Linked DNA regions of Lepisosteus oculatus. The protein of the gene in region 1 purifies or fractionates together with the protein of each later gene. This does not show direct contact. Links are inferred from orthologs where the notes say so. Each region holds a gene or a part of one and is shown in the gene's direction. Other genes may lie near its edges.

Region 1 (15,323 bases):
CTCAGCGACATGGACGGCTTAATTTAATTTGTTTTGAGAAAAGCTATCAGCACCAACACGGCTAGTGATATTCCCTTCATTTGTGGTTTGGACTCCTGTCTGTAGGTTATACATTTTATAAATACTTCTTCATTGTATTGGTATAACGCCTATTGTCCTTAAGGATCTCAAAAGATTTTATATATAGGGGACCTCTTCAGCCAGCATTAACAACTGAAGTGCAGTCCCCTTATAAAAGAGGATTAAATTGAATTAAAAAGGTAGTTTCAGGAGGGCACCCCTTTTCTTACAAATTACATAATGGGTGAGTACAAAAAACTGGCTAAGGATGTGACAACAGGAGTGATAGAGACCCATTAGGCCAACAATTCACACAAATAATTCTATATGAACTCTGAAACAGTAAAGGCCAAAGATCCTACAAGGCATCGGTGTTGGTAACATAGTGGAATTCTAACAAAATGTATTTACTATTTTGTTACCCTCTTTTTAAAAAAAAAAAGATACACGCACCAGAAAAAATGCATTGTTGGCAATGTTTAACGCACCAAAGGCTTAATTTAAAAAAAAAGCTTGATGAAACGTCCTTTTACGCGAGGATCCTTTCGCAGTTGTATGTGCATACACCGCAGGCTATCGTGCAATACGCCTTTTTATCCATTACAAGGGGATGAACACACAATCATAAATTATTTACATATAAACACATGGAACATGTCGCCAGCAGCCATATCACCCTGCAGCTCTCAACGGGCTACCCACTGAAGCTAAGCAGGGTTGAGCCTGGCCAGTACCTGCATGGGAGACCTCCTGGGAAGCTATGGTTGCTGCTGGAAGTGGTGTTAGTGGGGCCAGCGGGGGTCCTAATGCAGTATAGTGGCGGGGACACTGTACTGTAATGGCGCTGTCTTTCAGATCAGACGTTAAACCGAGGTCCTGACTCTCATTGGTCATTAAAGACTCCCCAGGCATTTCTCAGAAAGAGTAGGGAGTTATCCCGGTGTCCAGGGGGCCAAATTTCCCCCCTCGGCCTTTACCGTGGCTCCAAATTGTCCCCATGTATGATCGCCCTGCGATGGACTGGCGCCCTGTCCTGTCCAGGGTGTACCCTGCCTTGCGCAAGTTGCTTGCTGGGTAGGCTCTGGCTTCCCCCAACACCGCATGGTATAAAGAGGTTTGGTGGATGACATGACATATGGAACATTACTGGGAGACAGGCTCACTGTTCCTCAGGCTGTGACAGGAGGTCACGTCCTGGGCTGCCAGTTCAGCTGAGTTCCCTCCTCCCTCTCCCAGTAGGATTGGGAGTTGTTGTGATTCTGGCAGGTGAGGGAATTCTGGGATTAGATTTATAAATTTAGGGAAGAGTGTTTGTCGAATCCCAGAATATCTATCACAGTGGAGCATCTCTGTCTCTCCCCGCTGGCAGTGGGAGCACAGCCTGTCCTCTCAGAAAGCTGTCGTCTCCTGTCATTGGCTGTGACGTGTGCTGCGCGCCTGCGCAGAGCAGGTTTCGTGTCTGAATGGACACGGGGAGAAGAAGGAGGTGGGGGTTAGGCTGCACTGTGCCATCCAGTCCAAAATACAGACGTATACACAAAGGCCTGGCACAGCCCTGACATGAGCGGTATCGGGTTCAAGTCTGGCGGTGTCCCTGCCTTGAGGAATGGCCCGGGGACCAGCGGCGGCTCTGACGGCCTGGATAAGATTGACATGTCGCTAGGTAAGGCCGCACGGAGCCGGGGAGTCCAGGTGGGGAGGCAGCCCGGTTTAGAGCTCTCAGACAGCAGCGCTGCGGTAAACACCGGGGGGATGGGGATAACGGTACTACTTTCGGGACTGTACGGAAAGCTCCAGCCACCGAGAGGCTTGTCGTTAAAGAGCTTGCAGTAACAGCGGTGTGTGTGTGGCTGTCCGGTTTGTGTGAGTTGTGTAGTGTGGCAGTCCAATAGGACAGGTTTCACGGGTCACCCTTAAATCACCAGTTGGCAGGGGCTTCGACCAGTTTCGGTTCAACCACTTTTAAGTGGGTTGTTGAACAGTTCAGAGTTCTAGTCAATAGTTCAGAGATCACGACAGAAAGAAACAACAACGCTCAATACCGAGAAGCTCAGGATGTTGGCTCTATTAACTCAGAAATGGCCAATTATGTATTTATTCAAACCTCATTTGTATAGCGCCTAATACCCTAAGGGTCTGAAAAAACGTCCTATCTGTAGGGGACCCCTTCACCAGCCCTTATAGTTATAGAGGGGTCTACATACAACACGTTTCCCTAAGCGGTGTGCATACAGCGTGCATTTCAGTCTAGTTTTCTGCATAGTAAAGTCTGTGCGAGTTGTCTGGGTACAGCTTTCTGGTCTTCTACAGAGTGCAGTTTATATATGCATAGTCTCCTTCTTCAGTGTACAGTGATGGTCTATACAGAGTACAGCGTTTCTCATAGTCTGAATATAGTGAACAGTATACCTACACATAGTACGTTCACTGTACATGTCAATTTACCTTGTCCATGATGTTAGAAAGTCTGTCTGCAGCGTGGGCAGTCAGTCTGTGCGTGCAATGCATGTCTCTTTCCCATCCTCTCTCAGGCACTCTTTATAACCTCGCACTCCTCCTCTCCTTGTCATCCTCCCCTCCCACCCCCCGCAGATGATATCATCCGACTGAACAGGAAGGAGCAGAGGACCCAGTGGGCTGGCGCTGGGCCCCGGAGGCCCCGTGTCAATGGCCGGCTCACCCAGGGCTGGCGAGGGCCGGCCTGGGCAGGGGGTCAGCAGCAGAGAGGTAGCTACATGCTGATACCCTGTCGTGTCACACATGTTAATAGACTCGCAGGGAACATACTGGTACTGATGCACTGATAAGCAGGGAAGCATTGTAATTGTTGAGATGCCTCCAAAGCACTTTGAGAAGCCACTTTTAATGGTGCTGTATAAAATAAAGTCTATTAGCAGTGTTGCATTAAACAGTATACCCTTGTTGAAGATTGTCGAAGATGCCTTTGGCGTGTGTTGTCTCAACATTTTTCTGTCTCCCTTCCTTATTTCCTGTCTCTGCCACATCTGTCACCCCCATCTCTTTTTCCTCTCTCTCTCGCTCCTTCTCGTCTGTTTCCTCTCTTGTCCTCTTCCTCCCGGGAGGTGTGGGATACCTGGGGGCTCGAGGCCGGAGGGGGGTGGCCCCCGTTCTCCGCCGGAGGGGTCAAGGTGTTGTTACCGGGTTGGCCGCCCGCAGGAATGCTGTGCTGCTCAAGGGGATCAGCCCCTTGAACCGACCGCCGCTCACACAGGTACGGAGTGAGAGGGTGTGTGTGCAGAGAGAAATGGAAAGAGGGCAGAGCGATCATGTCTTAGAGCTGGGAGGCCGTTTAAGTGCACGTGCATGTCAGCGTGTCTGTGGACAAGTGTATGATGTCAATATAAAGCTGTGTCGGGTGCGATAGGGACTTGGACCATTGTCAAGGCTGGACAGGTTTGAGTTGCTCAGGGTGTGCTTCAGCTGAATCCTGCCTGACGACAGTGAGCTTGGAGATGTGTTTGCCTGCATCGGCCCTCTCCAAGGCGACAGCTGTGCTGTAGGTGGCATGAGACACAGCCTGCTGATCTTTACCTTGAATGTTTCAGAAGGTGCATGCAGTCACCATCTCTGTCCTGTGCATAAGAGAGTCCTTCTGCATGGATGAGTTAATAATGATAATTGGCAATTCCTTATTAAGGTTTCTAACAAGAAAAGTGAATCCAAAATTTTAGATGAAATGGAATTCCTCTGTATATTTGCCTTTGGAAGAAAAGGGCAGTGAATTGAGTGTCTGGTCTGTGTGTGAGTAGGATTATTTTTGTTTATGTGTACGTTAGAAGCTACACTGCTCAGCAGAAATATTATCCTTTCGCTATATCACGTTCATGGCCTCTATGATTCTTTCACACCTCCTCTCTTTTTCTCTGTCCCTGCCTCTGCCAGAGACCACGGCCTCTTCTTCAGCGCAGGGCAGTCCCATACAGACAGACGGATGCCCAGTGGCGAACATACCGGCAGGTGGATTCCCAGCGACAGCCGTATGGACAGGTGGACACACAGAGGAGCCAGGGCCAGCCCCTGCACAGACCCATACAGCTCCGCCGACGGTGAGCAGAGAACCGTGTTAAACAGCCATTAAGCACAGTTGTGTGTTCACCGTCTTCTCAGAAACTCTGTCTTCCTCTCACCCTGTCTCTCTGGCTCAGCTGCTCAATTTTGTGCTTTGTCACTGTGTTCTCTCTCTGATCACCTACTCTCTCTCTCTGCAGGAACATACTCCCCACATGGCCGCCCGCCTCTCACCATGCCCAGAGAGAGGCTCGTCAGGCCACCTTTCTATTCCGCCGTGGCCTAAAGGTACGCAACTCTTTTTCTCCTGCCCTCTCCCCTCTTTTTCCTCCTTCTCTCCCTTACACTCATCCTTAAAACCCCTTCTCCCCCCCTCCCCTCCTCCTCTGCAGGACTTTCTCATGTCAGTGTCGGAAGGCTCCAGAATGAAACACCACTGCAAAAATTGCGTTGAATTCCCCGATATAGTTGTAATTACTTTGTGCCTTTCTGTTTCTTTCTCTCTCAGGTTCAGGCCCAAGTTCAGAACCCTGTCTTGTCCCCAGCAACCCAGAGGACACGGCCGTAAGTCTGCCTCTTCGTCTCATTGCTGGATTTAACAGCAGACACTTGAGCACACGTGCATTAAGTGGAAAGGCTGTGAGTCCTCCCACTGCTTCTCAGTTCTGATTCAGTCATAAAATAATATGAACCAATGTAATGCAGCTCAGATTTGTAAGCCATAGCCAGGTCTCATTCCAGTCTTGTGAATGTCTTGTGAATGTGTGGATCCTGATTGCGTATGCTGTTCTTTCCAGTTCTGTACAATTTGCTGTATTGCCCTGTGCTCTAGGTGGCGCACATCAACCACTAGCGGAGGAATCCTGACCATATCCATTGACAACCCCACTGCCAGAATACCGTCAGAGTGAGTCACAACACTCCATTATGGATGTTGCAATAGTGATCGATAAAGTTTGTTTTTTTTACATTGGAGGCTGTGTTAATACCTGTCCTGGTACAAATATAGTGTGGTTTAAAATCCTGGTTTTCTTCCTCTGGGAAGACAGCAGACCATATACAATGGGCCATGTGATAAGCTCCACTTTTTTAGTTCCAATCCCCTTTTTGCACTTGTTGTAACTCCCGGGTGGGTTTACTAGGTGTTTGGTAACGACACAGTAGAATACTGTCCAAACATAAGGGTAATGAACAAAAGCATTGTATGGCAAGGCCCCAGACTGAAACTTAAGTGGTCACAACTGTGGCTAATTGATGTGCTCATTGCCTGGATTTTAAGACTTGTTAACATTGTCATCTGGAGCTAATGGTGTCTTTGCCTTTAAAATAAACTCAGGAGTACCAACAAGCAGCTCTTCCTCATGCGTCGCGGGTATGAACGGTCTTTATCCCACGCTGAAAGTGAAAAGTGTTCTCTCCTCACTACACTGAAGAAAACGAGCAAAGGGAACTCCTCCTTTAAACCACAGTGTACCTGGCTCCCCTGACTGACATATTTGGCACACAGCAACTGGATCTAATGCCAGTTTGATCTGATTTGAAAACAAGTGTCTCCTTGGATAAAACATTTTGTCTAGAGCATTGTTTAAGAATTTTGATTTTTGTCCCTCCTTGGGGCGCCTGTGGCTGGCGGTTCAAATCCCGTGGCTGGCAGAGCAATCCTACTCCGTTGGGCCCCTGAGCAAAGACCTTAACCCCAACTGCTCCAGGAGCACCGTACAATGTCTGACCCTGCGCTCTGACCCCAAGCTTCTCTCCCTGTCTGTGTGTTTGCGAAAAGACAAATTCCTAATGCAAGAAATTGTATGTGGCTAATAAAGTGATCTGATCTGATCCTTATTGTCACATACACCTTCCCCCTCATGTTACCATCCAGCTTTCTCTCTCTCCACAGCCCCCCCCGAACTCGTGTGCTGCGCCCCCCCCTGCCCCCCACCCCTCTCAAGCAGGAGGAGCCAGAGCTGCGGAAGACCCCCAAGGGTGTGGCACTGCAGTTTGACATTAACAGTGTGGGCAAGCAGGTAATTACGCCCTCCTCCGTGGCCTTTTATCCCTGTTGACACTGTGTTCATGGCAGCTCATGGGGAAGCCCAGGAGACCCTGAGCAGAGACAAACCTCCCTGCCCTGCAGCCCATTGTATGCAGCTGTCTCATGGTTTATTTTTTCACCACCAGGTGTCAGTCTTTCTAATCATCATTTCAGAAGCTCTGATTTTCTGTTGATCTGGGAGGTTGTGTGTGTGCGTTTGGGTGGGACCGTGTTGTATCTGTGTCTGTGACCGTGCAGTTCACCACTGCGTGCCCTCGTGTGTAATTCGTCACTTTGTGCGTGCGTTTGGGTGGAACTGTGTTGTATCTGTGTCTGTGACTGTGGAGTTCATCACTGCGTGCCCTCGTGTGTGATTCGTCACTGTGTACGTGCGTTTGGGTGGAACTGTATTGTATCTGTGTCTGTGACCGTGGAGTTCATCACTGCGTGCCCTCGTGTGTGATTCGTCACTGTGTGTGTGCGTTTGGGTGGAACTGTGTTGTATCTGTGTCTGTGACTGTGGAGTTCATCACTGCGTGCCCTCGTGTGTGATTCGTCACTGTGTGCGTGCGTTTGGGTGGGACTGTGTTGTATCTGTGTCTGTGACCGTGCAGTTCATCTCTGCGTGCCCTCGTGTGTAATCTGTCACTGTGTGTGTGTGTGTGTGTTTGGGTGGGACTGTGTTGTATCTGTGACCGTGCAGTTCATCACTGCATGCCCTTGGATACGCTGGTGCCAGTGTGCTGTTCATGGCTGTGGGCACTGTGCTAACCCTGCTTTCCCCGGGCAGACGGCCATGACCCTGAATGAGCGATTCCGCATCCTGAAGGACCAGCGCTCGGAGGTGGCGCAGAGCAGCAAGAGCAGCCGATTTGTCACCGTGGGATAACAGTATGCCGAGGCAGCCAGTCAGAGAGAGATGCTACTCATAGACCCCTCCCATCCCCCCAGCCAACACTCTCACTCTCAGATGCGCCGGACCCAGGGGGAGAGGCGAGGAGGGGGTGGACAGTCCTGCCCCGGCAGGGAAGCACAGGCCCCCTCTGAGGTCGGGCACCAGACACAGACCCTCCTGTGTGCTTTTGGTTGACTCGTGGGGGCAGGGGCAGAGGAGGGAGGGGATCTGGAAATGAGGAAACGAGAGAGAAAAAGTTGTAAAAACAGAAGATGCTGCAGCTCTCCCTCCCATCGCTGAAAGAGTTTTGGCGTTCCTGTTGGATATAGTTATTCTTACTTGTTGTTTTTTTTTTTGCATTGATCCTGTTATTCTCATATTTGATATTTGTTACTGTGTACGTTCAGGAATGTTTTCGGTGTTCTGAATAGCAAAGGGAAGTTGGCTGAGGACGATGCTCTGACGCACACTCGGTTTGTGTTCTGGGAGGGGGAGGGAGTGGGGGGTGGTGGTCTTCCAGCAGGTGGGGGCATTGAAATTGTGTTGGGTTTTTTTTAGACTTTATCATTTTGAGTTATCTAGATTTTCTTTATCAAAGACAATTCAGAAAAGGGCTGCTTTTATTTTGAAGAGTCTGTGTTTCTTTACAGCATGGAATTACCTACATAACCTGAGGCCCTTCCAGTACACTCCAGATCTCACACTGCCATCACCACCAGCTCCTTCGGCTTCGACTCCATGAGGAATGTCAGCAGTATTGGATTGGTGACTGTGAAGGAAGGGTACACTGGAAGGGCTGCACATGGAGTGTCTTGGCTTTAGAGCAGTGATGGGCAGTTCTGGTCCTCAGGATTTCATTCCGCCTCCAATCATGAAGAACTGATTATTTGCAAAACGAGTTCACCTATTTTATACTTTATGATGTTGCCAATTGGAACATACCTGGAAGCCCTGCAGGACTCCAGAGCTGCCTGTCCCTGGGGCAGAGTAACACGGCTGTTGTTCGACCCCTGCCGGCTAAGTAGTGCCGTTTTCCGAAATGCCAGACTCGGAGTCAAGCAGGTTGGCCTGGTTTTTGCATGGCAACACTAATGTACTTTGGTTTTATAGGAGTGTATTTTATTTTGGTTATGGTTTTGTGACTTTGCTACACCTCGCCCAGCTCTGACATGGGCTTCAGTGTTGTTTTTAATTCTACTTTTGTTGTTTGTGTGTGGATGTTTTTTTTTTTCATGACATTTTTGCTCTGTTATTGGTCTTTATGGAAGATGTTCACATAGACATAAACGTGCAGGGTATTTTCTAAAAAAAAACCAAAATAAATGTTAAAATGTTTAACCATTTCAATGAATTATTTTCTGTAGTCTGTTTTTTCCTGCGCAAATAAATTCATACTATTAAGACTATGCGCCTTGCCCACACTCCGTCAATTCCCTACTCGCTTTCATGTTCAGGCACCACGCATGCTCTATGCCCTAAAGCCGGGCTTTTATACGCATGCTCCTTGCCCACACTAGAATCTCCCCTGCCGGTGGCTTCAGAACGCCCTCAGTTGCTGCGCAGACGCAAAGTATGTTCAGTCCCACCGACTGAGAGACGGTGGGAGTTAGCTCTATAATGGCGGCTGCGGTCTTGCTGTCGGCTGAGGGCCCCGGTCCCGGTGTGCCAGGAGTCCCCGGTAGCGGACCAGGAGTAGCGGGACCCGCCTCCTGGAACCGCTCACTCGACCGAGCCCTGGAAGAGGCTGCAGTAACGGGGTTCCTCAACCTCAGCGGCAGAAAGCTAAAGGAGTTTCCGAGGAGTGCCGCCAACCACGACCTCACGGACACAACCCAGGCCGGTAGGCAGCGCCCGAGGGCCGCTGAGGGATGCTGGAAGAGACCGGGGGGCCGGGAAAACAGTCCGGGCACTCCCTAAATTATAGACCGAGAATGTGCGGCTCTGCGAGCGGTTTGCAGGCGGGGAGAGACGGGGTCTGTGCGCGTTACTGAGCGTCTGCAGTTGCTTGACATGTTCAGTAGCCGCTCCGTCAGACAGCTGTTTTGAGGGATGGTGGAATGGAAAAACAGCTCGGCTCACGCGTGTTATTAGTTACATTGCAATTCGTGGCTGATCATATTATCATGAATTATTAAGAAGAGGTGTGTAGTCGTGGCTGGGAGAGCATTACGGTTCCTTGAGAGCTGTTGTAGCTGTTGTGAAGTTTGTCGGAGTTGGGCTGTGGCGGAGCAATGTGTTCGTTGCCGTGATGATCCACGCAGGACAGCGCCAGTTCGTGGGAGATCCCTGTCTCCCCCACGCATAGAGTAGCGGAATGACTGGAGAACAATCACGATTTTGTCCTTGCCTTGTGGAGTATAAGACACCCCTCCACCCCACTCGGCAGCCGTGAGTCCGCTGTGGAAATAGCCCTCGTGATGTAAACACTACCCACAGCCCTATGGGAGCCGGGAGGTGTGGAGGGTCGTAACACCTAGCGGACTGATATGCATAGATAAGCCTCTCTGGATGTCTTGCTCCATTGCTAATTTGTTTGTGTATGTGACAGGGATAACTTTATTTTGATCAGTTTCTGGCAGTCCCGTTGTGGACACCCCTGTGGAGAGTTTGGGCAGTCCTGGGTGTGGATGTTCGCGGATGGGGTGGGGAGATGACACACAAAAGGCGCACACTGACTTTGTGTAAAACAGGCTTGTATGCTTTCACGCAGAATGACACTGGCTGTGTACACACACCCACACAGTGTGCAGACTGCCGGCCTAGCCCAGGAATCCACCTGTCACACTGTTCAGAGGGACAGTCAGGCTGAGTGAGACAGAAGCACTTTGCTGTTGGCAGCGCTGTGGGATGTTTCTTTGTGCTTAGTAGTGAGTCAGAACGTATTAAATGATGGGAAAGGCTGAGGCAGAGCTGTCCTGGCACACGGTTATGGTGTGTTTTGGGGGGCACTGGAAAACCGACAAAGGAGCTGGCTCTTTTTCACTTGATATATCGGGATTAGAGATCTTTCAATTATTAGGCTGTGCCTTGCAGCATAGAATCTAGTGAGGTGCTCGTTCGTTTCTTCCTCTGAACTTTCTGGAGACAGAAGGGATTTGCGCTGAGATCTGAGGACGGATAGCTTGATCCACAGTCCCCCACTCGATCGGCAATTCATATCAGTAGTGTTAAAGTAATTAATTATAATTGCTTACACTTATATAGCGCTTTTCTGGACACTCCACTCAAAGCTCTTTACAGGTAATGGGGATCCCCTCCACCACCACCAATCTGCAGCATCCACCTGGATGATGCGACGGCAGCCATAGTACGCCAGAACGCTCACCACACATCAGCTATCAGTGGGGAGGAGAGCAGAGTAATGAAGCCAATTTATAGAGGGGGATTATTAGGAGACCATGATTGGTAAGGGCCAATGGGAAATTTGGCTAGGACGCCGGTACAATATATAACAGAGATTGGAGATTATTGAATGTGTGCGTGTGATGATCTGTCAGTGTATGTAGGTCAGTTCTGTGTGTCTAGCGTGGTATTGATCAGAGGGACTGCACAGTTATTCTCATGAACAGCCCTTATCTGTGTAAACTGGCACCTCATCTGACAGGGGGGAGTGTGCTCAGTGTTTCATTTGCTTGTGTGTATTGTTTCTTTTTTTGGGAAGAGAGAGACAAGGTGATATTTGAGGGGGGGGGGAAGAAATGGATTAACATTTCTAAAGTGTGGTAGACATTTCACTCAAATCCCTGCTGCAATAAATTGTTATAATAATAACATGCAGTGCTGCATGTCGGGAACAGGGAGGCGGTCCCTGCAAGGGTGATAAAGGGTTTATCACAAGTCATGTGATGTTCTCAGTTTGTACAGTGGCACGTTTACCGCAAGTAAGGAACTGACAGTGTGGGATTGAAGAAACAACTGTGATTTCATCTCCCTTGCTACAGGCTGCTAGCTTGAGCCAGATCTCACCTGCTGGCGTTGACTCAAAAAAGGAAAGAGGCCTCACGTAGAGGTCGGTGATGCCAGGGAAGGCGAAGGTGTCTGGACTGTAATGAGAGGGGAAAGGCACGAAATTTCCTGGTGCGCGTGCCCCAGGGTGAGCTGCCCGCAGTGCGGGGGCTGAGAGTCTGCACGCACACCGGCTCGTCCCCTTACGAAAAGGGGAAGCGACAAGTCTGTGTACGGCACGGGGCTGGAGTAAAGATACAGCCTCGGACAGTGACTTGGTAATGGGGCTTATTTAAATCCGCAGCAATGGCCTAGTGATATTGATCGCTGCCATAAACGGCACTGTGGCTAGTTTGTGGGTTGAACCCTCCACACTTCCAAAAAGCGAAGCTGTCCATGGTGTTTCGGCATTTACTGCTCAGCTGAGATGTTGGTAGTTGTTATATTCTTTAGCAGAATTTCTTTAGCAGAAAGTCATAACCTCAGCTCCTCTCCCCAGCCGTACACTCTCCGTCTTTGGCTGCTATGCAGACACATCAGGCTCTTAGTCTTACACACACCTGTCATGGAAAGTTGATTTTGTGTTGTGGAAAAAATATTCATTAGGCTGTTTTACCTAGCAATACAGATAAGATTCTGAAAATCTCTCTGGGGGCGTACAAGGAGAAGCTGCTTTAAGTGACTCAGGGTTAGACATCAGCTGGCGGCCAGTGGGTCTCCGGTCTTGCTCCCTGGGATCCCAGAGTCAGCTGCCTGCTCGGTCCAGCTGAGCTCTTTCCCTCTTCCATGCCTCTTAGGCCTCAAACAGTTGGAGCTTGCAGGGTACCTGTAATAACATTGGAAATCTGCAGCTGTTTAACAGCTGAGGACTAGTAAAAATATTTTTGCTTGCGGTCCGTACAATTAAGTGTTCGCTTAGGTACCTCAGAGCTAAGCTATGCAAAAAAAACTATCTAGAAGGGCTGTGTAACACAGGTTTGCTAAAAAGCCTGACGGGTCTGGGTCAGCATGTTAACTTTGCAACTTGGGTTAAGGATTGAAATGCTTTTCTGTTTAGTGAAGTTCAGGTCTGCATTTAGCTGTGTTTCCTTGCGTGCCATCCGAGGCAGTAGACAGGGAGCCTGTGCTCAGGATACTCTTTGCTGCCCCCTGCACTGTGGCACTCGAACACAGGCAGCGCTCGGAGGCAGGCTGTAGAAGAGCACCCGCTGCCACACTGCCAACCCACAGCGGAGAGGCTGGTCTGTGGACACGTCCTGCAGATGTGTAATCTACTCAGCCAAGGCACGGGCTCTCGGTGCTTCGTTGTCATTTTACTGACAGGCAATGAAATAAAGCTGTACAGTAGCCCTCGCAAGCACCTCTGGCCTTTATCCTTGTGGCAGATTCTGTCTTTGTACAGTCAAAGCTTTTGTAAGATCCAGCCTTTTTTTTGTGCAAAAATGTCTATCTTGCATATTAGCTGCAAATGAATATTGGTTTTGAAAGAGACAATTGTATTTATTTAAATGAAAACATTGTCTGCATTAACCTGGAGTAAAGCAGGAGGATGAGGGTGTGAAGAAAGCGGTGTAATTCTAGGTTATCAGCAGGAGAGTTGTTCTAGGCAGTCAGGTTAAAGGCCTTGTTTACTGGCTATCTTGTTCATGTTCCCTATCTGTACTCCTGAGTCACCGCGTGTCCAGTTCTAGAACCCTCATGTGCTCCATCCTTCTGCTGAGATGTAAGACTGAGATCCTGTTAAGAGACTCTGCAGCAACTGTTGTTGGGACAGCCTTCACCCTCAAGTCTCTGTCAGTCACGTTTTGAGTGCAATTTATGTGAAATGACTGATTCTGATTGTTCGGCGTCCCTCAGGCCCCCGTCTCTATGCGCTGGTCTCAGGGCAGTTATAGCGTGCTGCCCTCTGTGTGTGCTCGCTGTGACTGCCACACTGCAACAACAGGCCCACTGTCACACAGACGGAGTGTGAGTGGGCGGAGGGTTTGGTTGGTCTGGATTGAGCACATTGTGTTGGGAATCATTAGGACTTGATGAGATACGGAATTGCTTGAAATTGTTGTTGGATTGTTGAGGGGGTGCTATATGGTAGGGTATAGGTCTATCCTGACTTCAGAAGTTAACAGGACAGATGTGAGACTGTTGATAAATCAGGTCTCAGTGGGGAGAAACTAAAACATCCGTTTCACCTGGGGAAAGAGAACTGAGGGATTCTTATCTGTTATACTTTCTCTGAAGCTTTCTTTGTTCGTTTTATTCAAATTCAAAACTATGTTTCAAATGGCAGTTTGCCTCTGATTACTTAACTGGAACAACATGACAGGAAAAACAGGAACATCTGCATATAAACTACAAACTCATTTGTATCTGCTCCTAGTAAACAGAACTAACGGAATTATCGCTTCAGGCATGGTTGTCATTATGCATTCTCTTGCATATTACCTTTTTATCAATATGTCTGTAAATCTGTACTTGCCCTTTAGTCATAAACCAAATAGGTACAAGTTTATAAAAGAGGTGTACACTGGGCCAAAGTTGCAAGTGCATAACTTTTGTTACCTTGTCTGCCAAAAAGTGTACTTCCCCAGGGTTGGCATGGAGAGCTGAAAGTCCCAGAAGTCCCAGAAGAACGTGAAACCTTTTGGTGGCCTGTGCTACAAAACAAACGTAGTATTCTGGTGTGGGGGTCTGGAACAAGCTGCTAAGCCATGTTGTTCAAGCTGGCTTTTTTCAGGAAACAACTAGATCAGATCTTCTGATCAGTTAGCTGCAAGCTTTCTAGCAGGCTAGAAAGGATGAATAACCTCTCTCATTTGGAACTGTACCTATATTCTTATTAGAGTAGGCCTTTGTATAGAACTAGGCAAACAGTTCCTTGTTTGTTCCAGGAGCAGAAGTGGAAACACTGGACTTCTGCTTGAATTGTCAAAGAGTTGGATAAAGGTTAAAGGAACTGCTGTATCATATGTATATAAACCTGTAGAAAATGTCATTAATGTTTGCTCAGATGGTGGAGGTGACCTGCTATCCCTTTATGTAGGACTGTGTTTTGCAATCAAGTTAGGGCTAAACAAATAGGTATACATTTATCTTTGTTTTGTTTGTGATTATACTGTAGATTATAAAGACTGTGGAGATCTTTGTGAAACAAACATTATGCTTTGTAAATAAAGGATTACTTGAATTTCCACCTGTGTAAAAAAAAAACAACTTGAGGTTCTTCTGTACTTGAGGTTAAAGCTGGTAAAGCCCAGCCAAAGGTGTTTAGGAGCCCAGACTGTTACTCTGTATATGGATAGGTGCAGTATTTCCTGTGCTTAATTTCTGCTTAGCTGTGCTTCGGCATTGCTCGGTTTTAGACCGTCTGCTCTCCAGGACTACTTAGCACAACACCAGCACCTCCTTGTGTCACAATGAATCTAACTTGTGTTCGCAATTGAAAAAAATATTGAAATTAGACTTCAAGTGTTAAAACCAGGAGAGAATGCGGAGCCTCACAATCTGTTATTGTTGTTCTCTTATCCAGGATGACATGAATGTAGACAAAATACTTCCTATAAGTAGAAGCAAATGATTTGCAGGTACAATAAGCTATAATAAAAAACGTAAATTGAATTAATAATGGCAGTGATATTAGAACAAGCTGGAAGATCAACACAAGTGCCACACAAAAGTGTTTAATCAGAATGGAAACATTGTACAGATAGTGTGGACACCCTGCAGATATGTCTCCCTTGTTTACAGTAAATAAGTGTAATTAAACAGTTACATTACCAGTCTGAGAGTTAAACACAATAGTACAGTACAGCATAAGGGTTTCTGAAGGATGTGCCTGAGAGATCACCGGTGCTTTCAGAACAGATCAGCCCTGAACTGGGGCTGAAAGGTGGCTGGAGACCAAGCAGATCTGATTGGTGTGGGTAGTTCAGCCCTCCACTGTTTGCAGGAGTGGAGAGCACACACGCTGTGGAAGGAGGAGATCGGAGACGGAGAGAGGAGGTGGAGGGAGAGATGACAGTCCGAAGCAGAGTGGTTGAGATGCTGGTAGTCGGGGACTAGGGTTTTTCAGTCAGATGTGTCCAGCGATTGGGAGACAATGGGAGTACTGGAGCAGTGGAGAACCATGGGAGCAGTGGAGAGAAAAGAAGGCAAGATGAAGACTGTGGATGGTGTTGGCAGGGAGAGAGAGATTAAGAGGGAGCCACAGTAATCCAGGCAGGAGAGTACCTGCACCTGGACAAGGAGTTCTGTAGTTGGGGAGGAAAGCAGGATCTGAGGGTGGTGCTCACGAAGGAGTGGCAGGAGTGTGCCAGAGAGGATGTGTGTTGGGTGAAGGGAGGCAGAGGTCAAGAGTTAACACTGGGG
Region 2 (15,539 bases), on another chromosome or scaffold:
AGAGCTGATGTGTAATGAGCGTACTGCTGTCGCATCATCCAGATGGGGCTGCACACTGGTGGTGGTGGAGGGGAGTCCCCATTACCTGTAAAGCGCTTTGAGTGGAGTGTCCAGAAAAGCGCTATATACTGTATATAGTGCCATATATATTATAATTCCTTCTCTCTGGGCTTTCAGTTTTCCTTACTACAGTACCTGATAAAAAAACACAGTATTTCTTCTGTCTTGATACTGCCACTTCTTTATTGGTACAACTAAAAAGCTGAATTCTTAAACTGTTTCTGTTTTGGCTGGTCTTCCTGCTTTCCTGAAATCTCAGGTGTGTAGTTCTTGAGATCAACATGAGGACTGCAAGTGTTGTTGAAACTGTAGTAAAGCACAATACATTCTGATGACCAGAGAAGACACTCCTGGCATCAACAATTTGCGTGCATTCGCCTGGACTTTACTTAATAAAATTCACTGCAAAGTATCTTTTAGAAAATTTGGGTTACAGCCATTTTTACCACCAAGTTGTTTTGAAATTATTTACAACTTTTTATGCTGCTCAAGCTGCAGAGAACCTCCAGAAAAAGGATGGTATTGTACACTTTGCAGGCAGTGATACGGATTCTGATACTGTTCTCTGATCCACTGTCCTAGTGAAAATACCTAACACCCTGCTGCCTTTCTCTGCATAAGTGGACGTTAAATGAGCAAGGCTCAAGTAAACGTTAACTTTTTTTCATCTCAGAAGATTGTAAGTTGTTTTGAATATTTTACTTCAGTATGACCTTTGGGAATATTCTATTTTGGGTAGATCAGAATGAGTACTGAGCTGACTCATCTAACTCATTGTGTGAGGGAAAGTCAATTGTATATTTTTAGTACTACCATCACCAGATTGTTTTTTGTTTTGTTTTGCATGTGGCTTTTATATATTGACATCGACAGGTTAAAGCAGTTTCGTTTCCAAAGGCACCTCAAAAGAAAGACCGTTATCACACACATACACTGCAAACCGAGTTTTTATAAGTGCATTTTATAAGTGCATTTTCTTTTTTTTTTTATTCAGCAGCACAAACAACGAGACTCAGTTTCCGGTATTTATTGCTCCAGGAAACCAGCAACTTCACACGGTGACCTTACAGCCATTGTCTCTGGCCACAGTCCTGGGCAGTAAGGACACCTCAGTAACCTTGGCTTCATCACCCAAGTTCTTTCTTCAGACTGTGCCCTCTTCCCAGCCAATGGCAGTGCTCATGGAAAATGTTGCAGTGACTTCTCCAAAAACGACATCGCCTTCTTCCGTATTGGCTGACGGCAGTATCTCCAATCAACAAGACGTTGCTGCCCATTTGCAAGGAGATAACGAGACGATTCCCTTGCCTTCCTCTCCAACAGTGGGTTCTGCAACATCTGTAGTGACGTTTGCAAGTGGTGGTCAGCAGCTTGTGTCTCATCCTCCTGGGACAGTTATTGCTTCTGTCATCACAGCACCAGACACCAAGCAGAGTGTTTCTCAGAGACAGGAGACTCCGAACACTTCACCGGAAAGACTCGAGCAGGCAGAGATCCAACTGGATCAACACTTCAGGGTGGTGGTGGTGAATGATGGTTGGGTGGAATCAGAGGCAAGAAGCCATGACACTGAATGTGATTCTGGTTGAAGTCCGATGTTCTGTCGTTTAAAGTACTTTAAAGTAGAGAACTCAAAGAGATGCTGTTTGATTTTTCTACTGCTTTCAGCACTTACGATCACTAAAATACTTTTTGGCACTTGGGTATTCTGTGTGACAACACGCATTGAGTTGCAGAACTGTCTAGGGTTTTTACAGGTGTGAGTTTCAAAAGTATAATGCCTTTCTCAAATATAATCTGTTAAACAAACTAGAAAAAAATGAAATAACAAATGCTTCATTGTTGTGTGTTGGTATTCTTTAAGGCTTGTTCAGTTATCTAACCAGTTGTAAATTTGGATGCAAACCTGTTTAAAACCTTTTGGTTTGATTTTACTACTGCTTTAGTTTTTTTTAATAGATTTTGCCTCTTTGAAATCTAGGCAAAGTACCATCCAAACATTTTTTTCCTCTTTTTGTGAAAGAAAAGTACCCAATCTTATCGATTCAAATAAAGCCTTCAAAATTTTTGTACATTTCAAATATTTTTGAAAATTCACAAAATTATCAAATCTACAAATTTAAGAAGTGTACATAATTATAAATTCCTCTAATTTATATTTATAAAATTACTGTTGCCTTTTGTGTAACTTTTTTAATGCAATGCTTAAATTCATCTTATTTTATTAAACTAATATTTTGACAATTGAAATTCTAAAAGCCTTTTGCAGTTAGAATATTATACTCTTTAAAAATGTAAATATTGTACAGGACATTTGACTTGATATAGTTTTACTTGTTGTGCATTCTAATTTTTATATACAACAGTTCTTGTTAAACTGAAATAATTCTAAACATCAGAGTGGATTTGTATTTATTAAATACATTTTTAATTTTGAAAAATTGTGTTTTGTACCTGTGAAAACTATTATATGTGAGTTTGAGATGTGCTCTTCATGCTTAATCTTCATGCTATTTTTTTTCCCTTTTTAATAGTCTTGAAGTGTTTGTCCTTAGGATTTACTTTATAAAATGTAAATATAGAAACATTAGTACATTTTTAATATTTAATTTTGCTCTTGGTTACTAACAGTTTAACTACAGTATATAATGAAGTATTCTGCAAAAAGGCTACTGAAAACCCAAGAGGTTTTTAAGTTTTAAAGTTTAGATATAAATTTGAGCATTGAGTATACTACTTCTCTTTGAGCTGCTGCAGTTGTTTTTGACAAATATAAAAAACTTGACAAATACTATTGGAATGACAATTCGACCAATGTCATATGATCAGATGCAATGAAAACTGACCTTTTTTAGACATTTCTATCACAGTTATAATTGGTTTAAAAAAGATGAAGCTCATATTGAGAAAAGTCTTGTGCCAACTGAAATATTGTGGGGTATGTGTAATGTTTTGTGTTTGTGTTGCTTGGTCCTGGAGCCCTTGTCAAGATAAGGGAAATTATGAACTCCAGTAAGTACCAAAACATTTTGGCCAGACTCTGGTTCATTCTGCAAAAGACGATCAAGGTTTGCTGAATGCAATCATTTCAGCATACATTTATATCCAAATCGGATGAAAAAAGAATGGTTAACCGCAACTCAATCTAATTGAGCATTTCAATTGAAGATCACAGTTCACTAACAAAAGTGGAAGGGTCTGGAGGATTCAAGGAATGTCTACATCAAATAATATTCATAAATATCTCAATCTCAATATCTCAATACCTTTTTTCACACTGCAGGTTGTGTCCAGTCAGGGTAAAACCTGCCAGAACAAGATTTATCACAGGGGTGTAAATGTAACCCTTGTCTTTTCTGGACTTTAATTATGACAAATATAACTTTGCTCTTTGCAGTTCTATTGAAAAGTATGCAACTAATAATATTTTTAGAATTTTAAAGCAAGAAGGGTTATTCAGTCTGTAGGTCTTTCTGTTATTATCTATTGTTTCTCTTAAAAATTGAAAGGCAGTGTATTTGTCATCAGCTGGGGGTCTTCCATACAAGTTACTGGCTTGCACTGTGTGTGGCCACTGTAGGAACCAATGTGTGCTGTACATCTGTACATAAATGCTGAACATACATTGTGTTTTGCAGCTTTTTGCAGTGTTGTTGGATTGTGTCCCATTCCTCTTGTTCACCCAGGACAATCTTCAATACTGTTAATGGTCATTCATTGTCAGGTGTGGTCATTTTTAACATAATTGGTTTCATTCTACACATCACAGTCCAAAAGTCCATTTTTTTATACTAAAAAATAATGCAGATACTGTTAATAAGGATGATCTTTTTTATTAGTTTTAAACAAAATAACTAAATTTCAGTGGAAGAAGGGAACAGAATATTTCTTGCATAAAGAACGAAATAACCATCCATCCATTTTCTAACCTCTGAATCCAGTGGATTGCATCCTGGACAGGATGCAAGAACATCACGGAGCACACAGAGACACACACACACACATGTGAACATAAAGACTCCACACAGACCGCACCCTAGGTTTGGACTGAACTCAGGGCCCCAGCGCTGCACGGCAGTAATGCTGACCACTGAGTGAAAAGATTAAACCAGGTTTGCACAACTTCAAACGCTTCAGTAACCAAGGACAGATTTCCTCGAGCTAATGGATTCCAGAATTTTGGAAAGCAGATGTTCAACAAATCAATGGGTCAACGAACCCCATGAACGGTATTATTCTCAAAGGCTTCGAATTTGCTAGAAAGAAGCTCTGTCCTAGTGTCAACTCGTCTCTTCCTCTTACGAGGGTGATTCCTCCCTCCCTTCTTATTCCTTCCTTTTTTTGTGCTCTCTGTCATGCTGCAATTATCCTCTTTGAGGCTCACTTCCTATGTACAGTGTATCGTGTCGTCATGTGAAGACTGTCTTACTGTCCTCCTTAAGAATGGTCCAGTTACTTTTAAATATTAACAATCACTGTTAAATAGTAATGATCTAATATTTTTGACTTAATGATTTAACAGTCTAGTTTTGGCCTAAGTTAACAATACCACACTTTTAATCATTTCAATATTGGATCATTGTTGACTGCCTCTAGGATCTACTGTAGGAGAGCTACAAATATGCTCAGGACAATCCCTATTGTATTGAACGTTCAGATCAGGGTAATTCTGCTGGGAAGAACAAATGTCCAGTTAACCATCAAACATGCAACAGCGCACTAATCAGAGCACCTCTTACCCATTCCTTACAGTATATACACCTCATTTGTCCATGTAATGTCAATTGATAGGCTACAAACCAGCGCAAAGGCAAGGGTGAAAAAAGTTAGGCACCAAAAATATACTTTCTATTTATTGCTTTGGTCAGAACAGACTTGTCTCTCATCAGTACTTCGTGGTTCAAGAATCAGAATGAAGCATTGCACTAATAAAACAATTCCCAATTTTTTCTTTATACTCCTCTGCCCTTGCATTCTGCTTTTAAAATGTACTTTTACTGGGTTTAGGAAAAACAACAAAAAACGAATCTAAAATCTTAACCTTACTTACAGTCTGCACATTCATGATAATGTGCAAGAATGTGTTTTTTGGCAGACTGCCGGTGCACCTATACACTGACAATATCTTGTATATTTTGAAATAGGTGATGTCTGTTTACCAATGCAGATCAATAATGCATTCCAATTATTTTTTAGTTCTTAATTCTTCTAGATATTTTTTTCTTGAAAAACATTTGACTTTAGCACAGACTATTAATTTTAGAAAAATAAAACCGGCAAAATATAGATTCTTGATCTAAAAAATGTGTTGGTTCAGAGCTGTGCGTGTTATGGAATGATTTTTTAAATTACAAACATGCATTACATCGTTTTTTTTCAAAGTTCTACAGAAGAAATGTGAGGTCTTTGCAGAATCTTTTGCAGTACCTTGATCGATTCTGCCATCTAGTGAAATATTTGCAGAATACATAAAATGTACACGTCAATTACACCTGTTTTTTTTTTCATACGCTGGTTTCTGGAATTATACGCAGTACAAACTTGTAGGCGTTTCAGAAAGCAAAGGTATATCTGGCGCCAAGAAGGCGAAGCATTTACAAGTTCCCTCTGGATGCATTTGGAAAACTGTCCCTGGTGTGTGTGTTTTTGTCTGACTTGGGATGGACTGGCACCTTTCCTAAAGTAGAAAATAGATGGGTGGAGACATTTTTATTCTTTGTCCATAGGTACTGTAGCGCCCTCGCTGGCTTTGCGGCCGAAGAGCGCCCGGCTGGGTGCGCGGCGAGGGGCAGGACGGGAGTAGTGGTGGCCAGGGCGGGAACTAGGAGAGCGGCCAGGGCGGCTGACCAATGGCGGAACCGGTGTAAAAGTTCGCGAGATCGCCCGGACTCATGTAAATAGTTTCCCTGGTTTTGCGTCTCATGTACCCAATTACCACCCTATCCCACTGTATCTGTACCCTAGTGTGTTGTAGCTTGTTGTCGATGACACTTGGGCTTGCTGTGCTGGATGCACGTCCGACTAATTAAAAGCGTCGTATTTTCAGTTAACAAAAGCCTGATCCCCTGTCTCTATCCCCGCTGAACCTGTCGCACTACAATATTTTGTTTCTGTAGAAGTATGAAAATGATTTAGTAGATACCATAGAATGTTACCATATCTTATGGTTCTATTGCAATGTACGGAAAACAGCTTACTAGCTGCGTTAAGTGGTTAGCGCACAAGTACGTACTAAATCGGTAACTTATTTTTAATTAACTCTTTATTACCTTTTCCAAATAAAAATTGAATTCCAGCAAAGCATGGGAATCATGTCTCAGTTGCATGTTGCTACTGAAGTGGATGTGTATATAACGTCTTTAATCTGATCCTTATATATGAAAAAATCAAAATCTCTACAGGTCCAGAAAACGCACATATGCGCCCCAAAGGTATCTTCATTTGCGACGTTTTTTTTCCCAGAATACAACTGGAGCTATTCTGACGAAATCATCTTGCTCGTAACACAGTGGGCTGAAACGTCAAGAAAGTAATGCTAATCTGTAACGCTAATTAGTCTGTAACGACTGCTTTTAAACTTGCACATTTTAAAAGACTTCTGGCTGCTTCTAGAAACTTCCCATTTAACCTTAGATCCTTGAATTCAGTCGCGTTAGTACTACGGAGACACCAGGTGGCAGGACAATATAGTGCGTTGCATCCTTCTGCAACTGTGTCTTAGATGTGTCCCTTTTTTTCATTAATACAGCGGTAGGTTGCATTCTCCCGGCGCAGATTTCCGCAGTCCTGCACAGCTCTGCGTTCTTCCAGGGCTGCGGACGGATTTCACCACAGGTCCGTGCAGATCCTACGCGGCACAGCGCAGTTTTGCAAACCAGCTCTGTGAGAGACCCGCAGCCACTGTAAACCAATGGGGTGACGCCGAGGACCAAAATGTTTTTGCTGTTCAATTATTTCAGTATTTTCTCACTCTTACTGTTGTTATTCACTGGTTTGCCTATGGCATCTACAAGCACATAAATTGCTTTCGTTAAAATAATATACATTTACTGTATTTTACCGGTTGTCATTTTCCTCCCTGCGGCGTATTACGGTTTTTAGCATAGATACCAACACAAACTAGATGTGCCCTTCAATCTGGCAGTTAGGTTCAATACAGCCGCCATCTTACGATGGTCAAACCAGGCGGCTCCTCAATGTCAGCTTTGAAAATACTGCAAGAGTTTGGAGTATACGGCTGTAGTTTTGGGGGGCAAGTAAACTGACAAAGCACAGGGGGTAACTACATTATTGAATAATCTGTACTCTGTAATTAAATCTCAAAGTGATAGATCTCGTTTAGCTTGCAGTGATAGGCTCCGGTTACCCCCGCGACCCCGTCTTGCATAAAACGGTCAGAAAATGGATGGATAAATATATTTTTGCCCAACACGTTAGTTATACGATAATTATTAGTTTCGTTTTTGGGTCCAGCAAACTCTATTACGTTTTGCTGGCTCTACAGCCGTATTCCTCATTACACTCTTAGCAATACGAAGCAGGTGTCAACATAAAGAACAATTCTATTTAGCTGTTTACTGTTACAGATTCTTTAATTTACAGTTTCCAGTAACGAGAAACCCGCATATTCCCGCTAAGAGTTGCCTCAACTCAGACCCTATCCGGAAAACAGGGTACAAAATCAACGTACGGAAGCACTCGTTTTTTTCAACATTATTTTAAACCGATTGGCATCTTAATAGTTTTATGGATTGTTTTTGAACTTTACTCGTGTTTAGCAAATTCAATCTCATTTACTTAACGTCCAATAATACTATTGTTTCATAACATTCTGAACATATTAAGTGTGACCATGCATGTAATACCCTAGTTGAGCATGACTGTTATATAATGTGTACGTATGCCATTATCATTCGTATTCGCGTTATCGATTATTCTGTTTTGTCAGTCACAATACCACTAGCCCACACAGAATTTTGAAACTTTTGTCTCTTAGAAACAGTAGCACATCTAGAGCTTTACTGTCCTAGTTACTAGTTTAATTAAAAGACAAATATTCATGTTAACTGTTTACGTTGTAAAAAAAGGCACATGCCCACCTGCTGACCTTTCTGGGCAGCAACGAACTAGTTGCAGTTCGTTATAGTTTGGCCATACTATTGCATTATGGGATACCTATAGTTTTTGAGGAAAAGCGATTTCTTGCGTCGCTCTGTGTGACGTCACACAGATCGCAGGGTGGATATCTATGGTTGTTTTCACGTCTTTTTCCATCTGAGCAGCCCAGCAGCCCCATCCAGAACGTTCTGGACGTCACTTCGGGCAGGACTTCATGGCAGACGAAAGGCAAGTGCAGTGTACATATTTCACTACAACATTCAGTTAAATTAGCCGAGTAACGAGTAGGTTGAGAGTAGCCGATTTTCTCGTTAACTGGTGTTTCTGTGTTGCAGGAGCTTCCCTGACAGCCTCATTGACGAGGATCCTCAGAAAGCTCTAGAGGTAAATAGCGTCCCTGGGTTGCTGTGCCTGTTTCCTTCCGTGGTCTTTCTCTTAGGTACTCAATTCGATTCTTTACGGTATTATTTTATACAGTCGGAATAAGCGTAGCCAATTTACTATCCATTTAGTAATAGATTTGGGCCTTTCTGTGTCAAAATGGTACTTCTAAACAGTTGTCTGCCCAACGATTTTCTCCGTAATGTTTTCACTTTTCCGCATATAGCTAAACTTTTTTTTCTTTGTAACATTACTCAATGTCCCAGAAAACGTGTAAACCTACATCCGTTTTAAATTGTCGTATTGATTCCTTTGGATTCGTTACATGACATTCCAGATCATCCTATCTTGCTAGATTCAGTTCAGTTCAAGATGTCAATGTAGTATTTAAGCGTGCTCCTCAAACCGTCCAGTCACTTGATATCTCCTTGTCCCCCAGCCAGTACAACCGGTCTGAATAAATAGTGCTTATTGGGCACATTGGAGTCAATTTAATCTGAAAACCTCTGTGGGCTATGTACTTTACATTGGCATTGGAAATATTTTAATATTGTATTCTACATACATGTGTATATATAAATGTGTGGATAAAAAAAAAGTTACAGTAGGAGAGTTAAGATACCAAAGGGAAAACGTTATGAGCCTTTCGTGATGATTTCCAAGTGGAATTTAAAATCATTGCCCTCTCCTTCAGTTTGTATCGGGAAAGACCCATAAATTTGAACTGAAGGTTCCATTAATTTAATTTGGATCTGTGATGGGTTTGAGCATTTTGCTGGATATTGGAATGAGAACTTTTTTAAACCAACCATTTTTGTGTGCTAGAATGTCTATAAATAATGTGCATTGGCACTTTGACAACTCGTTAAATCATATGCTACTACCATACCTTGGTCCTGTATTTTCTAAATACTCTCAGACATTTGCCTTTTTCTGTATGAAACACATTGTTCACCACATGTAGGTCAGTGATAGCTCTTTCAGGTTTCGCACTCATCCTTGTAGCTAATAATGGTGATTTAATCATCTTCTTCCAACATGCATTAACCTTCAGATAATTAAAAAAAGGTGTCAGAAATTCGTTAACTACAGAGTTTATTTTTGTTCTACACGTTCAGGGTCACAGATAATGGGAAAAGAGCCTCCTGACGATAGAAATGATAGACTTTAGCAATGCGTTTTATTTCTTTTTGTTCTGTTCATAGTTTGCATGTAATAGTAATGGGGACTCCCCTCCACCACCACCAATGTGCAGCATCCACCTGGATGATGCGACAGCAGCCATAGTGCGCCAGAACACTCACCACACATCAGCTATCAGTGGGGAGGAGAGCAGAGTAATGTAGTCAATTCATAGATGGGGATTATTAGGAAGCCATGATTGGTAAGGGCCAATAGGAACTTTGGCCAGGGCGCTGGGGTAACTTATCAGTAACTTATCATACATATACAGCCATAAAGGAAGTATTATTCATCAAATTCTGTTGATACATCTGCACTATACACATCTAAATAAGTGCACATTTCTCCAAACAAAGTCAGCCCTCTTTCCTGTTATTAGTTTATTAATAGGTTGTGTATACATCCCTGATTTCTTGTAAAAAAAAAAGTTATGAGATGTAAATGGCATGATAAGGTCAGCTGATTTTTTTTCACATCCACAAACTTGGACGTTAGATGTGAAATCTGTTTGCACCTGTTCTTCGCTGGGTCTCCAGTCTGTTGCGCTGATGTTTTTCTGTTTTGCTTGAGTTACTGAATACTTGCAACTGTACCAATTCAGAAACTTTTTCCCCTCTTATGTTAGATGAGTTTTAAAATATAGCGTTGTACCTAGGTTGTGGTTAAGCCTTAATTACCCCCACAATAAATTATATTGCATTTTACTGTAAATATCAATGTGTACTTTGTTGACATTTTTCTTACATTTTCTAATATACTGTACATACCTTAAGAAATGTCCTATGCTGAAAAACTGAAGGAATTAACCCTTTTCAGTCTTGAACTGAAAAGATTATGCGGGTACCCGATAATATGAACCAGGGGACACAAATGGAAACTATGTGGAAGTGCTTTTGGTTTCAAGAACAAGAGGCAAATCTTTACCCAAAGAGCTGTGGGAGTGTGGAACAAGCTGCCCAGCCATGTCGATGATGCCCATACTCTGGCTTGTTTGGGAAATGGATGAGTAGATTGAATCGTTGGATCCAGTTAGCTGCTTACTACTAAATAGACTAGATGGGCAAAATGGGCCTATTCCTGTTTGTAATCTTTTATTTTCATATTTTCAGTGACTAGTTTTTGTTTTTAAGTCACGTGTGAAAATTCACAATTGTTCTGAGGCTGATCTTGTTGCCTATAAGCTTTCTGAGCACCAGTCTTACTCAGTCAGTTGTCCTGTATGGCTTGGGGTGTCCTGCTCATACTAATTTTAATAACATAGCACAGACACAAATCTAGGGTTTCTGATTAACTTGCGCTTCTATTCAGTACTTTTACCAGTTGAGCCTTTTGGAAGCATCTGAGGTTAAGCTCTGCATATGTTTTTGTATGTCTCGGCACATTCATTTGTATTTTCTTCCAGGAGCTGAATGGGGTATTGGAACGAACATCAGATAATGCAGAATGGTACTGTCAGAGATCCTACACCCACCTTCTGCTACAAAATTACAGCAGTAAGTAAATCTACTACATCCAAGTCCTCAATATTTGTCAGTAATGGTGCCTGTCACCTAGTAGTGATTTGTCAACTAGTGGTGGTGTTAAGATGTGGGCATGTGTTGAAACCACTTGTGTGCTTTGACCAAAGATGCAACAAGAAATGTAAGTTATTCAGAAGAGGATGCATGCTGTGGCAAAAGTGGGAGGTAAAAATGTTTACCACACTGGTATCTTATTGTGTCCGTATTGTAACATTCCACTGTAAGAATAATTCTGTATGGAATTTGTGGGTGTATTAACATTTTGAATTTGTGCCATAAAATCTTTTCTATATCTTACTGTTTGTAGGTGCTCTTGAAGATGCAAAGAAGGCTCTTGACCTGAAGCCAAACCTTGCCCTAGCCTATCTCAGAGCAGGGTACGTGGAAACATTTTGTGTGTTGGTACTTCAGATGTTCCTTGTATTAGATGCTTTATAAATTAATTCTACTGAAAACCACAAAATGCTAAAGATGAGACACTGAATCTTGTGTGATTCTTTATAATATGCACTTTATTTTAGGCCAGTTGTAAACCACAAATACATAGCTGAATGTCTTTAGGATCTTCAATGGGGACCAAAAAATTTTGATTTTACAAGTGGAACTATTCCCATAAGAAATAATGGAAATAAGGGTTACTGGAGACCAGGAGGACATAAATATTCCCCAGAGGACATTGAGTGTGACATTTTTCCCATAAGGGACCATGACATGATGACATAATTCTAGAGTAGTGTACATTCACATTTTTTGTGAATACATTTTTGTGGTTTGTGAGCAACTGCGTACGATACTGAGATCAAGCAGTATTAGGTGCATGATGCTGCACAGGCTGAAAGTGGCATCATGTTTTGTGTATGTACAGCACACACAAAAATGAAAGCAACATCCAACTTTTATATACAGCAAAATAATACATACATTTACATTAAATGTTGCAGATGTGTTAAATAAGGACATCTAATACTGTAAAATTACTTTAATCATCTAGTAACTCTGTCTATATTTTAACTTATCTAGCAACATAGTGTGCTTGTGCTTCTCGCTGTTTCTTTGACTTCTTTGTTAGGGCACATTGCCTTCAGGGGACGTAAAGTCGAGACATAAAAAAGGTAAAATTACATAAAAATCTCAGCCAGAATACAGTAATGTATAAAAATCATTATAGATATAAATTACAAAACAATTTAGATTTTACTAGAAATTGGCCATTTTGTACACTCTGGACTTTATGGAGCAGTTTAAGTCCTTTGGACATGAAGTCGGGGAATGTTTATGCCCATGGTTACAGAAACTCAATAGTGGAAAAAGTAGGGAGACATTAAATGGGGATCTTCCTGTATTAACAGTGGCCTGGACGGTGTGGTTTTTTAGGGACTTGGATCAGTTCAGAAATAAAAATATCCAGGCGTTATGTTAATATTTTCTGCTTCGTTCTTCTTTTTCTCTTCTTATCTGATGAGAGGTGTTCCATTAGTTACTGTATATGTGATTGTTCCAACAAGAAAAATGATGAACACATATCCCAAAGCAGAGCTAAGATGCTTTGTCCATCTCTATGGTTTTGCTTTAATAAGTGTTTTGAAACAATAGTAACCACATAATATGCAGGAAACAGTTTAAGAGGAAATATCAGAAAATTGTATAAAAATGTCAACTGAGAAACAATATACCTGGGTAAAGAATATAATCTATTTTGAACTGGAATTGTAACTATGTATTAGTACCTTACACACATTTGGTTTGGAAAACTTTAGGCAGTTTTACACAATGCCTAAGCTACAGGTTTGCTATATATTTTCTTGTTTTATTTTATAGAGCTGCAGAGTACCATTTAAAAAACTACGAATCTTCATATGAGGCATTCAAATCAGGACAGAAGTTAGATGGTGAGTATTTCAGTTTTATATTAAACAGCAGGTTAGTTTTATGTGCTTATGGTTTTGTGACTTTCTATGTCTTTGCACACATTACCACAGAATCTGACAGCACCTTTGGGATTTGGATTAAAAGATGTGAAGAAAACATGGATTGTAAGTAACATCTGATTAAATTTAGTTTTAAGTTTATTTTCTAGGCTGTTTTATAAATCTCAAGAATAGTTAAAATTTAGTCATTTAGTATATGATTAAGCTTCTGAAAGTTTGTGCAGTTATTTGTTGAATGGCTGTCATACATAAGTATTCATTAAAGAGCACATGGACAATATGCCTCAGGCTGATGAAGTACCCTGGTTTTTTTTTAAATCTTAACAACATGGGATATGAGTTACAAAGCCTGATAGAATGTTTTATCTATAAATACATGCATATTGGTTTATTAAACTTTAGTAGCAGGTGTAAAATTAGTAATTATATTTGGTGTTGTTGATGGGTATAATTCGTAGTATTTTGGTCACTGTGATGTGTGGGTGTATTATCCAGCAGAAGTAGTATAAATATTAAAAATATTGGTAGCTGAAATCTTAAAGTTTCTACTTCTGGGTTGATAAAGTTTCAATCATTGTTTAACTCAGTTAATGGCAAAATTCATGATCACCAACTTATTTTGTTACTTGCAGTGAATAAACAGAATGGATCATCCAACACGGTACGTTGTTTTATCTCATTGTGGAAGATGATACTGATATCACGGCTTCAGGGACTTTCACATGTAAACCACTTCAGACATGCAAGGAAAGGCTTTATACCCAGTAGTTTTACAGAACAAATCAAAACATGTCTGACATAAGAAACCCAACCAAAGCTTCAGAGAAGGTAGCTACCACCACTTTTCAACCTGCTCCTATTTCTATACTTACTCTGGACTACTGAGTACCCAGTGCTCAACACATGCCAATCTGCACTAACAGGTTCAATCAGTTATACAGTTTCTGTAGATGTCAATAACACTACAGTTAAATGTTTTTGAGTAAAATTTGTGCCAGAGAATTCTTAAGATTTATTTTGCAGACCCATTAAGCTTTGAAGGTTTAGAACTCAAGATGGAGATCTAATGTTGTATAATAGGTGATTAAAAGAGGGAAGGTATACTGTTTCTTTGCCAACAGACGTTGGTTGTAATCTGCATGGATGTTCGAGGGGAACTGGTCTGCACTGCATTTTGTCAAGACCCTGCTGCTGCATGAAAATCTGGTTTAGAGTAAATTGCTTGATATCACTTTTACTATGCAAATACAATTTGAATTAGGATTAATCAAATTTAATGTTCGTGTTTTGTGGCAGTATGAGCAAAAGGTTGAATAATAGTAGTAACTTCTCAGTGCGTTTTACAGAAAAGTAAAGAAAAATGAAAACGGCAACAAGGATACGTGTTAATATTGGCACAAAGAAACAGATTGGTTTATAATGTGATAGCAGATGCAAAAGGGCAGACATAAATTAAATAAGAGCCTTTATAAAGAAGATGGTTTTGGGTCTGCCTTTGAAGGCGTTGAGGGAAGGTGACTATTTGATATCATTGGGTGTAGAATTCCAGAGCTCTGGGCCATAGCAAGAGATGTCTTTGTCACCCTTAGAACGTAGATCTTGGGGGACAGACAGGAGACCAGAGTCAAACAAAGGCTTCAAGGTAGAGAGTAGGAAAATGACTTGGATAAATATTGGGGTGCCAAGCCATATAGAGCCTCACAGGTGAGCATGAGGATTTTGAAGTCAACACAAAACCTGATAGGAAGCCAAGGGCTCCAGGACAGAAGAATTGTGATCCTTTGTATGTATTCTGGATGCTGAGTTTTGGACATACAGTACTGAAATTAGTTAAGAATGGATTTAGATACACCAGCGAGTAGGTTGTTGCAGTAATTGATTCTAGAAAAGACAAATGTGTTGACCAGCTTTTCAGCAACAGTCAGAGACGACATAAGACATAATCCAACGATATTTCTGAGATGGAAGAATGTTGTAGTGGGAATTATATTTACATACAAACAAATACAGTGGAATTTCCGCATGTTTAGGTTGTAATGCTGTAACCAGTAGGAGCCATATGTATATTTACCATTTATAATAAAGTGCAAAGAAGAATAGATTCTCTAAACAATTGTATTGTGTACTTATATAGCATATCTTTTAAAATAAAATGTAGAATTACTTGATTTTGGCATGCTTATGCTTTACTAGTAAATAAATTCTTCTAAATAAACTAAAAAATAAAAGTGCTAGTGTCCCCTAATAAAAGAGGGGTGAATAAAAGTGAAGCAGGTGTTGAACAGTTTTAATTTATTTTTCAGATTTGTTATGAGTTCTTCTTTAAGATTTTACTTAAAGATCACAGAGG

The links.
Region 2: the proteins of lrch3 (region 1) and sugt1 purify together in Homo sapiens (co-immunoprecipitation; 3 studies listed by BioGRID and IntAct, counting the BioPlex papers as one, with this or other methods). This does not show direct contact. The link is inferred for Lepisosteus oculatus from reciprocal best matches to the Homo sapiens genes LRCH3 and SUGT1.

The regions. Positions count from the first base shown.
Region 1 is NC_090708.1:16,897,704-16,913,026, reverse strand, and holds the start of lrch3 (DISP complex protein LRCH3), read left to right. Parts: upstream 1-8,593; 5' UTR 8,594-8,630; coding exon 8,631-8,853; intron 8,854-15,323. Other genes in the region: UAP56-interacting factor, read left to right, coding at 1,621-1,723, 2,653-2,787, 3,144-3,292, 3,964-4,127, 4,290-4,377, 4,598-4,653, 4,922-4,996, 5,984-6,110 and 1 more. UniProt on the Homo sapiens protein: As part of the DISP complex, may regulate the association of septins with actin and thereby regulate the actin cytoskeleton.
Region 2 is NC_090710.1:16,033,692-16,049,230, reverse strand, and holds the start of sugt1 (protein SGT1 homolog), read left to right. Parts: upstream 1-8,278; 5' UTR 8,279-8,392; coding exon 8,393-8,406; intron 8,407-8,513; coding exon 8,514-8,562; intron 8,563-11,143; coding exon 11,144-11,234; intron 11,235-11,568; coding exon 11,569-11,638; intron 11,639-13,079; coding exon 13,080-13,150; intron 13,151-13,240; coding exon 13,241-13,294; intron 13,295-13,821; coding exon 13,822-13,850; intron 13,851-15,539. Other genes in the region: ETS-related transcription factor Elf-1, read left to right, coding at 1,055-1,649. UniProt on the Homo sapiens protein: May play a role in ubiquitination and subsequent proteasomal degradation of target proteins.